Saccharomyces cerevisiae S288C: one gene and its partner. Changing the gene in region 1 together with any one later gene gives a genetic interaction. Each region holds a gene or a part of one and is shown in the gene's direction. Other genes may lie near its edges.

What was found. A genetic interaction does not mean that the proteins touch.
Region 2: mutations in YOL131W (region 1) and YOR072W-B together harm fitness more than expected from each alone (negative genetic interaction), as found in Saccharomyces cerevisiae (one large-scale study listed by BioGRID).

The regions. Positions count from the first base shown.
Region 1 is NC_001147.6:69,856-74,941, forward strand, and holds YOL131W (uncharacterized protein), read left to right. Parts: upstream 1-3,175; coding exon 3,176-3,502; downstream 3,503-5,086. Other genes in the region: mediator complex subunit MED7, read right to left, coding at 1-189; SCF ubiquitin ligase complex subunit HRT1, read left to right, coding at 470-835; GAS4 (1,3-beta-glucanosyltransferase), read left to right, coding at 1,445-2,860; Mg(2+) transporter ALR1, read left to right, coding at 4,545-5,086.
Region 2 is NC_001147.6:462,621-466,346, forward strand, and holds YOR072W-B (uncharacterized protein), read left to right. Parts: upstream 1-1,848; coding exon 1,849-2,010; downstream 2,011-3,726. Other genes in the region: SGO1 (Sgo1p), read left to right, coding at 2,151-3,726.

The DNA.
Region 1 (5,086 bases):
ATCTAGCGCACATGTAATCTCCTCTTCACTGCCGCCGTTACTGTTATTTGGAGCCGTCTGCTTCGCACTTGCGGCCTTCTTTTCTTTGTATTTTGGTAATTTTTCCAGATTGGACTGTGTGAAAAACTTCACGTATGGGGGTGGAGGTGGGTACAAGGAGCTAACCTCATTACCAGGATCATTGGACATTTTTAGTTTGTGAATTTTTTTTTTACTAGCTTAAATTTGGGATATGAAACCTCTTTTATGTCATATTTGCACGTCTAATGACCTGCCTGCTGAAAATGCAAGATTCGTTGTTTAAGTTCTAACTAACATTTCGTATTTCGTGATAATAGTTTCTTTTAAAGGTGTGAAGAGGGAGATCATGAAACCCACAATAGACGTATGGGCTTCAATATGTGCAATGTTGGTTGCTACTAAATGTCTTTCTCCAGTGGCAGAGAACTTTAAAGAGAAATAGTTCAACATGAGCAACGAAGTTGACAGGATGGATGTTGATGAAGATGAATCGCAAAATATTGCGCAAAGCTCAAACCAAAGTGCGCCAGTGGAAACCAAAAAGAAGAGATTTGAAATTAAGAAATGGACCGCAGTGGCGTTTTGGTCATGGGATATAGCTGTTGACAACTGTGCTATTTGCAGGAACCATATAATGGAACCATGCATTGAATGCCAGCCAAAGGCCATGACGGACACTGATAATGAATGTGTAGCAGCCTGGGGTGTCTGTAATCACGCTTTCCATTTGCACTGTATTAATAAATGGATCAAGACAAGAGACGCATGCCCATTAGATAACCAACCTTGGCAGTTAGCAAGATGCGGTAGGTGAAAAAATGAATTGCCCGTAAACATTTAAATCATACCGAGGTAGAAGGATTATGGCATGTTCCTTTTTTTTTAGAGTATGTCAACTGGCGCAGTAGATACATGTTTTTCTCTTCCACGTCGAATTTTGTTATATACATAGCATAATCGAGTTGTATGCACCCTTTTTGTTTATCTCGTTAGTAACTCGGGGTAGGAATAAGACATCCACAAAGGTGACAGAACAAAATCATCCTAGCCTTGTTCATAATCTACCTCTATATAGCCGCTAAAAAATTAGTAGTATTTTGACTCTTTAAGAGCACATTTATTATCAGGCTGCTTTTACATACTTCTTTTGTTTAAAACATTTAAAGACGATCACTGCCCTTCCAAAGGACAAATATATATACACAAACACTAGGCCAAAAGTTCACTTATAATAATTTAGTGGTAATTATGTTGGGTAAAGAAATTGCCAATAGTCTTTTTTTTCCGTATTGTAAGGTGAGACTGAGGTAGCGGCACAAAAAAACGACACATAATAGGATACTGAGTAAAGCAGTATTAAAATAAAAAAATATATTTTACCTCGAACGCTACAAATAAAGCAGAAAAGAACAAAATCGTGAGCATGATGGTTTTTTCGAGCACCTTTATTTTTCTAATTTTGGAGTTAGTTGTACTGTGTGAAGCTTCAGTCCACACCATTCAAATTAAGGACAAGCATTTCGTTGACACAGTGACTGGAAAACCATTCTTCATCAAAGGTGTGGATTATCAGCCAGGAGGCTCTTCCGACGTTAGTGAAAAGCAGGATCCGTTATCCAATCCAGATGCATGCGCTCGTGATATTTTATTATTTCAAGAATTGGGAATAAACACAGTAAGAATTTATTCTATAAACCCGGACCTGAACCATGATGCGTGCATGACTATGCTCGCAATGGCAGGTATCTATCTTATATTGGATGTCAATTCCCCATTGCAAAACCAGCACTTAAACAGATATGAACCTTGGACTACCTATAATGAAGTTTATTTAGAACACGTTTTCAAGGTTGTCGAACAATTTTCTCATTACAATAATACTTTAGGATTTTTTGCTGGGAATGAAATTGTAAACGACAAAAGATCAGCACAATATTCTCCTGCCTATGTCAAGGAGTTGATTGGAACTATGAAGAATTACATAAGCGCACACTCGCCCAGAACAATTCCGGTAGGTTACTCTGCTGCAGATGACCTGAACTATAGGGTATCACTGTCCGAATATTTGGAGTGTAAAGATGATGATAAGCCAGAGAATAGCGTTGATTTTTACGGAGTTAACTCCTACCAATGGTGTGGCCAACAAACTATGCAAACTTCAGGGTACGATACATTGGTGGATGCTTACAGGAGCTATTCCAAGCCAGTTTTTTTTTCAGAATTTGGATGCAATAAAGTATTGCCAAGGCAATTCCAGGAAATAGGTTATTTGTTTTCTGAGGAGATGTATTCAGTATTCTGTGGAGGTCTGGTTTACGAATTTTCACAGGAGGATAATAATTATGGGTTAGTTGAATATCAAGAAGATGATTCAGTACAGCTCTTAGCAGATTTTGAGAAGCTTAAATCGCACTACCAAAACATTGAGTTTCCTTCTATGAAGACTTTAAAGGAAACTGTTCAGATGGAGGAGACGCCATCATGTGCGGAAGATTATGAAAATTTGAAGATTGAATCTAAAATTGCTAAAAATTTAGGAAGTTCTTTGATAAAAAAAGGCGTGAAAGTTGAAAAAGGCAAATACATAGATATTCACGAGGATCAGCTGTCCACCAATGTCACGATTTTAGACAAGCATGGTGACAGATGGAATGGGCCCAAAAAGATTGAAATTAGGCAAAGCCTGACATTGGCAGACCTGGAAGGAGAAGAACAAGAAGACGCAGATGAAGACAAAGATGATTTAAAACGAAAACACCGGAATTCTGCCTCTATTTCCGGCCCATTGTTACCTCTTGGGTTGTGTTTGCTTTTTTTTACTTTTAGTTTATTTTTTTAGACTTTAATGTCGTTCTCCCTTTTTAAAGAGTAAATACATATTTAAAAAAGTGACTATGGCTATTGCTAAACGTGATAAAAATCAGAGCCTATAACACTCTCTGAAATAACGCTATGCAGGAATTTCCAGTTAAGTTCTTCTTGGGGTGACTTCTTTACTCGGTATGATATGTGTTTTATATGCACAGTACGAGTCCATTAGGGTAAATTAGTGGCCGAGAAACTTTTGCCGCCGAGCTTTTAAGTATCCTTTTGCCACTTCTTATTTAGATAAAGACCTGGCAGTAGTAGTCGTAGAAGATAAGATAGACAGAGAATGAATACTAATAAGATAGCACAAGACGAAGTCCAAGATAAGGTTTTGCAAAGAGCAGAACTAGCACATTCTGTATGGAACTTAAGGTTCAACCTCAGTAAAGTTGCCAAACGGATTCGCATGGAAACAAAGGTATTTCCAGAGATAAAGATAAATGACGCGCAATCACAGTTAGAGCGATCTAGGTGTAGAATATTTAGCCCTGACCTGGAGGAAGAACATGTGCCCTTGATTCAAGGCTTTAAATGTTTGGATTCACCCCCTCCCGTTCCACCAAGCTCATCGCAGGGGGAGGATGAAGAGAACACGGTAGATTCGCAATACTAGGAAATTAGAACCGAATCAAAATAGTTCCGATCCTAACTTTTCTACTAATCTTTGAGATTTTATCTCATTAACTCTTTGACCAAGCTATGAAATGCGTAAGATGAACTTTTGTTTGAGAGTGTTAAGTATTTAGGCGTCTACGCTATGATAGCCTCACTCTAGGACGACTGCTTTTTTGGAACAACTTGTTGTTCTCCGATGGTATATTGTGTGTTTATGTATTGTTCTACGTACTCCTCCGTCTCTTTTTCGAGGGCAACGCTTTGAACTAGTATTTTCCGTTATAGTATGTCCCCCCTATATGCAACCCCTTGAATGGACGAATCTCTAAAATATACAACCTTTTCCTCTATAGGAAACAAGTAGGGTCTTCTACGCTAAGGATTACATAACGCATGTATCAAAAACTGATTTTAATTGATTAATTTCAAAATGTCAGCGTAGGTTCACCTAGACTTGTTTTATAGCTCCATTCAACTGGCGGTAGACACAACTAAAGCCAAAAATTGCCTAAAAATTTCAGTACTCTGGCAGCATCTACTCATTTAATTGCCGTAATACATGGGACTCAATGATCCTTAATATGCTAAATGCTACCCCTCCTTTTTTCTTTTTTATTCCTCATAAAATTGCAAATATCGCAAGCACGTTTTTACTCAGCCCGTCCGCTTTGAGATACAAAAACGATATCTGAAATTAAAATTTTCTCTGGAACATGGTCCATCGAACTAATTATGCATAATAACGTACGTTCCTATCCTATGAACACTTTTCTTTTTCTGGATAAACTGACTTAACAGTAGAAAACGTAGTGTGCAAGGCCATCCTTCAATATAGACTCAAAATTAGAAAGAGTGCCCTGATTAGTTGAGTTTTTCCTTCTATAAGCAAGAAAAATATCATCCTGACAAGAGACAGGTATTATATAAAATATTTCTACATGGAAGTATACTGTTAGTTGAACATAAATTCAACAAAAGGATACCATTACTTCTTCTCAAAGATCATCGAATATTGCTAGAAAGCGTAAAAGCATTTTACCATGTCATCATCCTCAAGTTCATCAGAGTCATCGCCTAATTTATCGCGGTCAAACTCACTGGCTAACACGATGGTTTCCATGAAAACAGAAGACCATACGGGATTGTACGACCATAGGCAGCACCCTGACTCACTGCCGGTCCGTCACCAACCTCCAACATTGAAGAACAAGGAAATTGCTAAGTCCACTAAACCTTCTATTCCTAAGGAGCAGAAGAGTGCAACGAGATACAACAGCCATGTGGATGTGGGAAGCGTACCCAGTAGGGGCCGCATGGATTTTGAAGATGAAGGGCAGGGTATGGATGAAACGGTTGCTCATCATCAATTGAGGGCATCTGCCATTTTAACTTCTAACGCGAGGCCTTCCAGACTAGCCCACTCCATGCCACATCAAAGGCAGCTTTATGTGGAAAGTAATATACACACACCACCAAAGGATGTAGGTGTAAAGAGAGACTATACTATGTCATCTTCTACTGCATCATCAGGTAACAAATCCAAGCTGAGCGCATCTTCCTCGGCAAGTCCTATTACGAAGGT
Region 2 (3,726 bases), 390 kb from region 1:
AATTGCTCCTTGGCATCCTATGTGCTGCATACTAAAAAATTTTTAGCCACGTAGTTGTATACTTTTGTTTCCGGGGATGAGAAATTAGCCCCAGGTCCCAGACTTACAACAAGGTAGATAGGGGGGCGCACCTTGTCGTCATGAGACCCATTTCGTAGAAACTTGAATTTGTTGTTGTTACTTCTGTTTTCAAGTAGGAGTAACGAGGCCGCGTACAATTTGCCAGTGGATTTGTCGCCTGCAGCAGCGGCCGCGACGCGACGGGTTGATCCAATTTTGTGCTTGCTTCTTCAACTGAATATTTTGAGTCCACTGCATGTGGAAAACAGAGTTTTCAGTCAGTCTTGTATGTATATTATTCTCTTTAGCTCCAGAATTTCTGCTGTGCTTAGTAACTTCTTGCCGTTGAGCTGATTTTAGTAGTATAATTTTTTTGCAACTCTACTGATATCAAGAGCAGTGATATGTGCTTTAATGTTGGCATTTCTTTCAAGCCAATCACCTTCTACCATTGGTCACGGTCTCAGTATATTTGTCGTAAATATTAGTACTCTAGTCTGGTCAGAGAAGTGGCCTTTCTCCCACCAAAACGTTGTTGTTCTGTCTTTTTTCTTATTATTTACTATTTATTGGATTTATCAAAAATTCCTCAGGAACAAGATTTAATATTCTTGAAAATCCTGTATGTCATAAATCATGAGCTTGGAAATTGACACGAAATATCGGATGGCACTACTTGATGATCGTTTTTATCACTACCGCTGTACTTTAATTTCATAATTTATTTGGTGACATTTCTCTTGAAGATCTGGCAAGATGTACACGGGGAGCTCCTTCAACTGTTAAAAATATTTTTAAAAGTAAAGACGTCACCATACTTTTTCACCATAAGAACAATTACTGGTCCAGATTAAGAACGGTTGGAGTAAGAGCCAATTATCATTCATTGACTGGTATTTCCTTTTGAACTATATTATCATATAATAGGTAAGAAGATGGCAAAAAGGAAGGAGAAACAGTGGTCTGATGTGATAGGGAAGTAAATGTCAACAAATACCTAACAGTACTATCTGATCGAACAAAGAAATTCCACCAAACTGTCAGTAAATTTATTTAATGAGCAGCAAGGACATAGTGCACAACTAGCACTCTACTTCGATTGGGTTATTGAGGAAGAGGATAGTATGCCCGGAATTTTCAAGCATTTACATGATTATGGTTTCATTGGGGTGCAAGAAGACCCAGCATGATTAGATTGCTATGTACTCATTATATAATATATCTCCGATGAATATATTTCCGAAAGTTTACTGAAGGCGACCTTGGATAAACCATAGTTTTACGGCAAATACACCATATCACTATTTTCTTTCTATATAGCTTTGCTAAGGCTTTTTTTAGTGACCGAGACAAAGAAGAAAATTTTCCATAAATGAAAGACCATTGTTTATTCCGAATCAAGTTTTCCGAAGAATTGTTGTATTACACAGTCCAGAGACAGCAGAATCTTTCAGAAATTTTAATACTGTTGTGACAGCATCTTGTCTATTATTTATTGGATACGCAAAACTCATTTTTTTAAAATTTTTTTTATAATTTCCTTTAAATAAAAAGGTTAAAGCTGGGAAAAATGCATCTAAATAATAAACTAATGATTTAGTTTCCCTCATTTAAAATATCTAAGAAGGACAGAACTTTGTTTGGGGTACTTACCCTTGAGTATTTTTAGCGATTATTCTTGGAGTTCTCAGCCAGAAGATTAAAAGAATATATGTTACTGAATGCAGTGTGATACTCAAGACTAAGTAGTCTTAACAACAAGTTAACAAGGGCGTGTGGTCTAGTGGTATGATTCTCGCTTTGGGCGACTTCCTGACTAACAGGAAGACAAAGCATGCGAGAGGCCCTGGGTTCAATTCCCAGCTCGCCCCTTTTATTTTTGATTATTTATTTCCTATTGGTCGGGTAACAGATTTTTTTTATTTTTTTCAAGGCCCTTTTGTTTTGTAAACAAAGAAATTTCACAAAGTGAGCGTCTACTAATATTGATAATGCCATTTCCACATTACAACTACTGCTAGGCGCAGGGTTATATTACTTACACACGCATATATATGTTTAATTGGGTATAGAGGGGTTATTGTTTGACCATGCCGAAGAGAAAAATTGCTCCTAACAAGGAAAGCAGCAGGCGTACGGTCTCCCACGATGATTTAACCCCACAAATACAAGAATTTCAAAACCTAATGGATCTCGAATCGCAAAAAGTGGAAAACATCAGACAGTCGTATTCGAGGCAAAACTCCCTGCTGGCCAAGGATAACTCCATATTAAAAATTAAAGTTAATAGCTTGGAAAAAAAAATAAGCCAGCTGGTACAAGAAAACGTGACTCTACGATCTAAAACCTCTATAAGCGAAGCTATCTACAGGGAACGGTTAAGTAATCAACTACAAGTCATTGAAAACGGTATTATTCAAAGATTTGACGAAATTTTTTATATGTTTGAGAACGTACGTAAAAACGAAAATTTGCCCAGTTCGAGCTTAAGAACAATGTTGAAGAGAACGAGTTCCAGGTCAAGATCATGCTCATTGTCATCACCCACATACTCAAAAAGTTACACTAGGTTATCAAATCACGAGAATAACCTGTCGCATGAATCAAGTTTTAACAAGGACGATGGTCCAGATCTTGAGCCTAAGGCTAAAAAAAGGAAGAGTTCTAGGCGGCAATCTATGTTTGTATCCACGAGTTTAGAACCTGAAGACGAAACCGGTGAAAACGAACCCATGATGGAAAATTCCTCTGTAGAGGTACCGGCAGAATCACACGAGTCTGCGCAAGTGGAGGAAACAATAGATGCCTTAAACCCTGAAGAGGAAAATAGCGATTCTGTCAGTAATTTTACCAATTCAATTATAGAATACTCCATACCAGAGGAGAATCCGACAGAACCCGAGCATTCATCTTCTAAACTAGAAATATTCAATGACAGTACAAATATGCTAAGTACAGTGCCGTCAAATCCTTTGCCGTTGCCTTTACCAGGCCCATCCGCAACTTTACCTACTACCACTAGCGATGCTTCAACGGTCTATCCTTCATCAAGTTCTTCTACTAATTCTCATCCAAAGACCAAAATTAAGCATTCCATGAAGCCGCCTAGGATAGAACTGAAGAAAAAGGTTATTGACGAAGTCATGCCCGTAAGTAACATGAGCAGCAACAGCGAAATATCATTTACGAGAACTAGAAGAACTCGTGGTAAAGCTGTAGATTACACTTTGCCTTCTTTAAGAGCCAAAATGAGGAGGCCTTCAGAAAAACTTGTGGATGCTACTACTGTGATTGATATACATGATCTACAGGTTTCCAAGAGAAATCGGGAAACTTCACATAAAAGGAAAAGTTTATCCCAAGATTCAATACCCGACGAACCGCAATTGAGAGAAGTCGTCGTCTCAAAGGATTATGGAACTCCAAAAGGGAAAAAAACGGAAGATGAAATACACGAGGATACCGCTCATCTAATGACCACTTCCAACAACAACAGCAACAACAAAAACGAAAAAAAACTAACTAGCAACAATAGCCCTAAAAAATCGTCGCCTTTACTTGACATTACAAATAAATCGGAGAATAAGAAAAAGTCAACAAGAACTAAAAAATTGTTCAAAAATGCAATTGTCAATAATTTATCTGATGAAAATTCTACTACGCGAC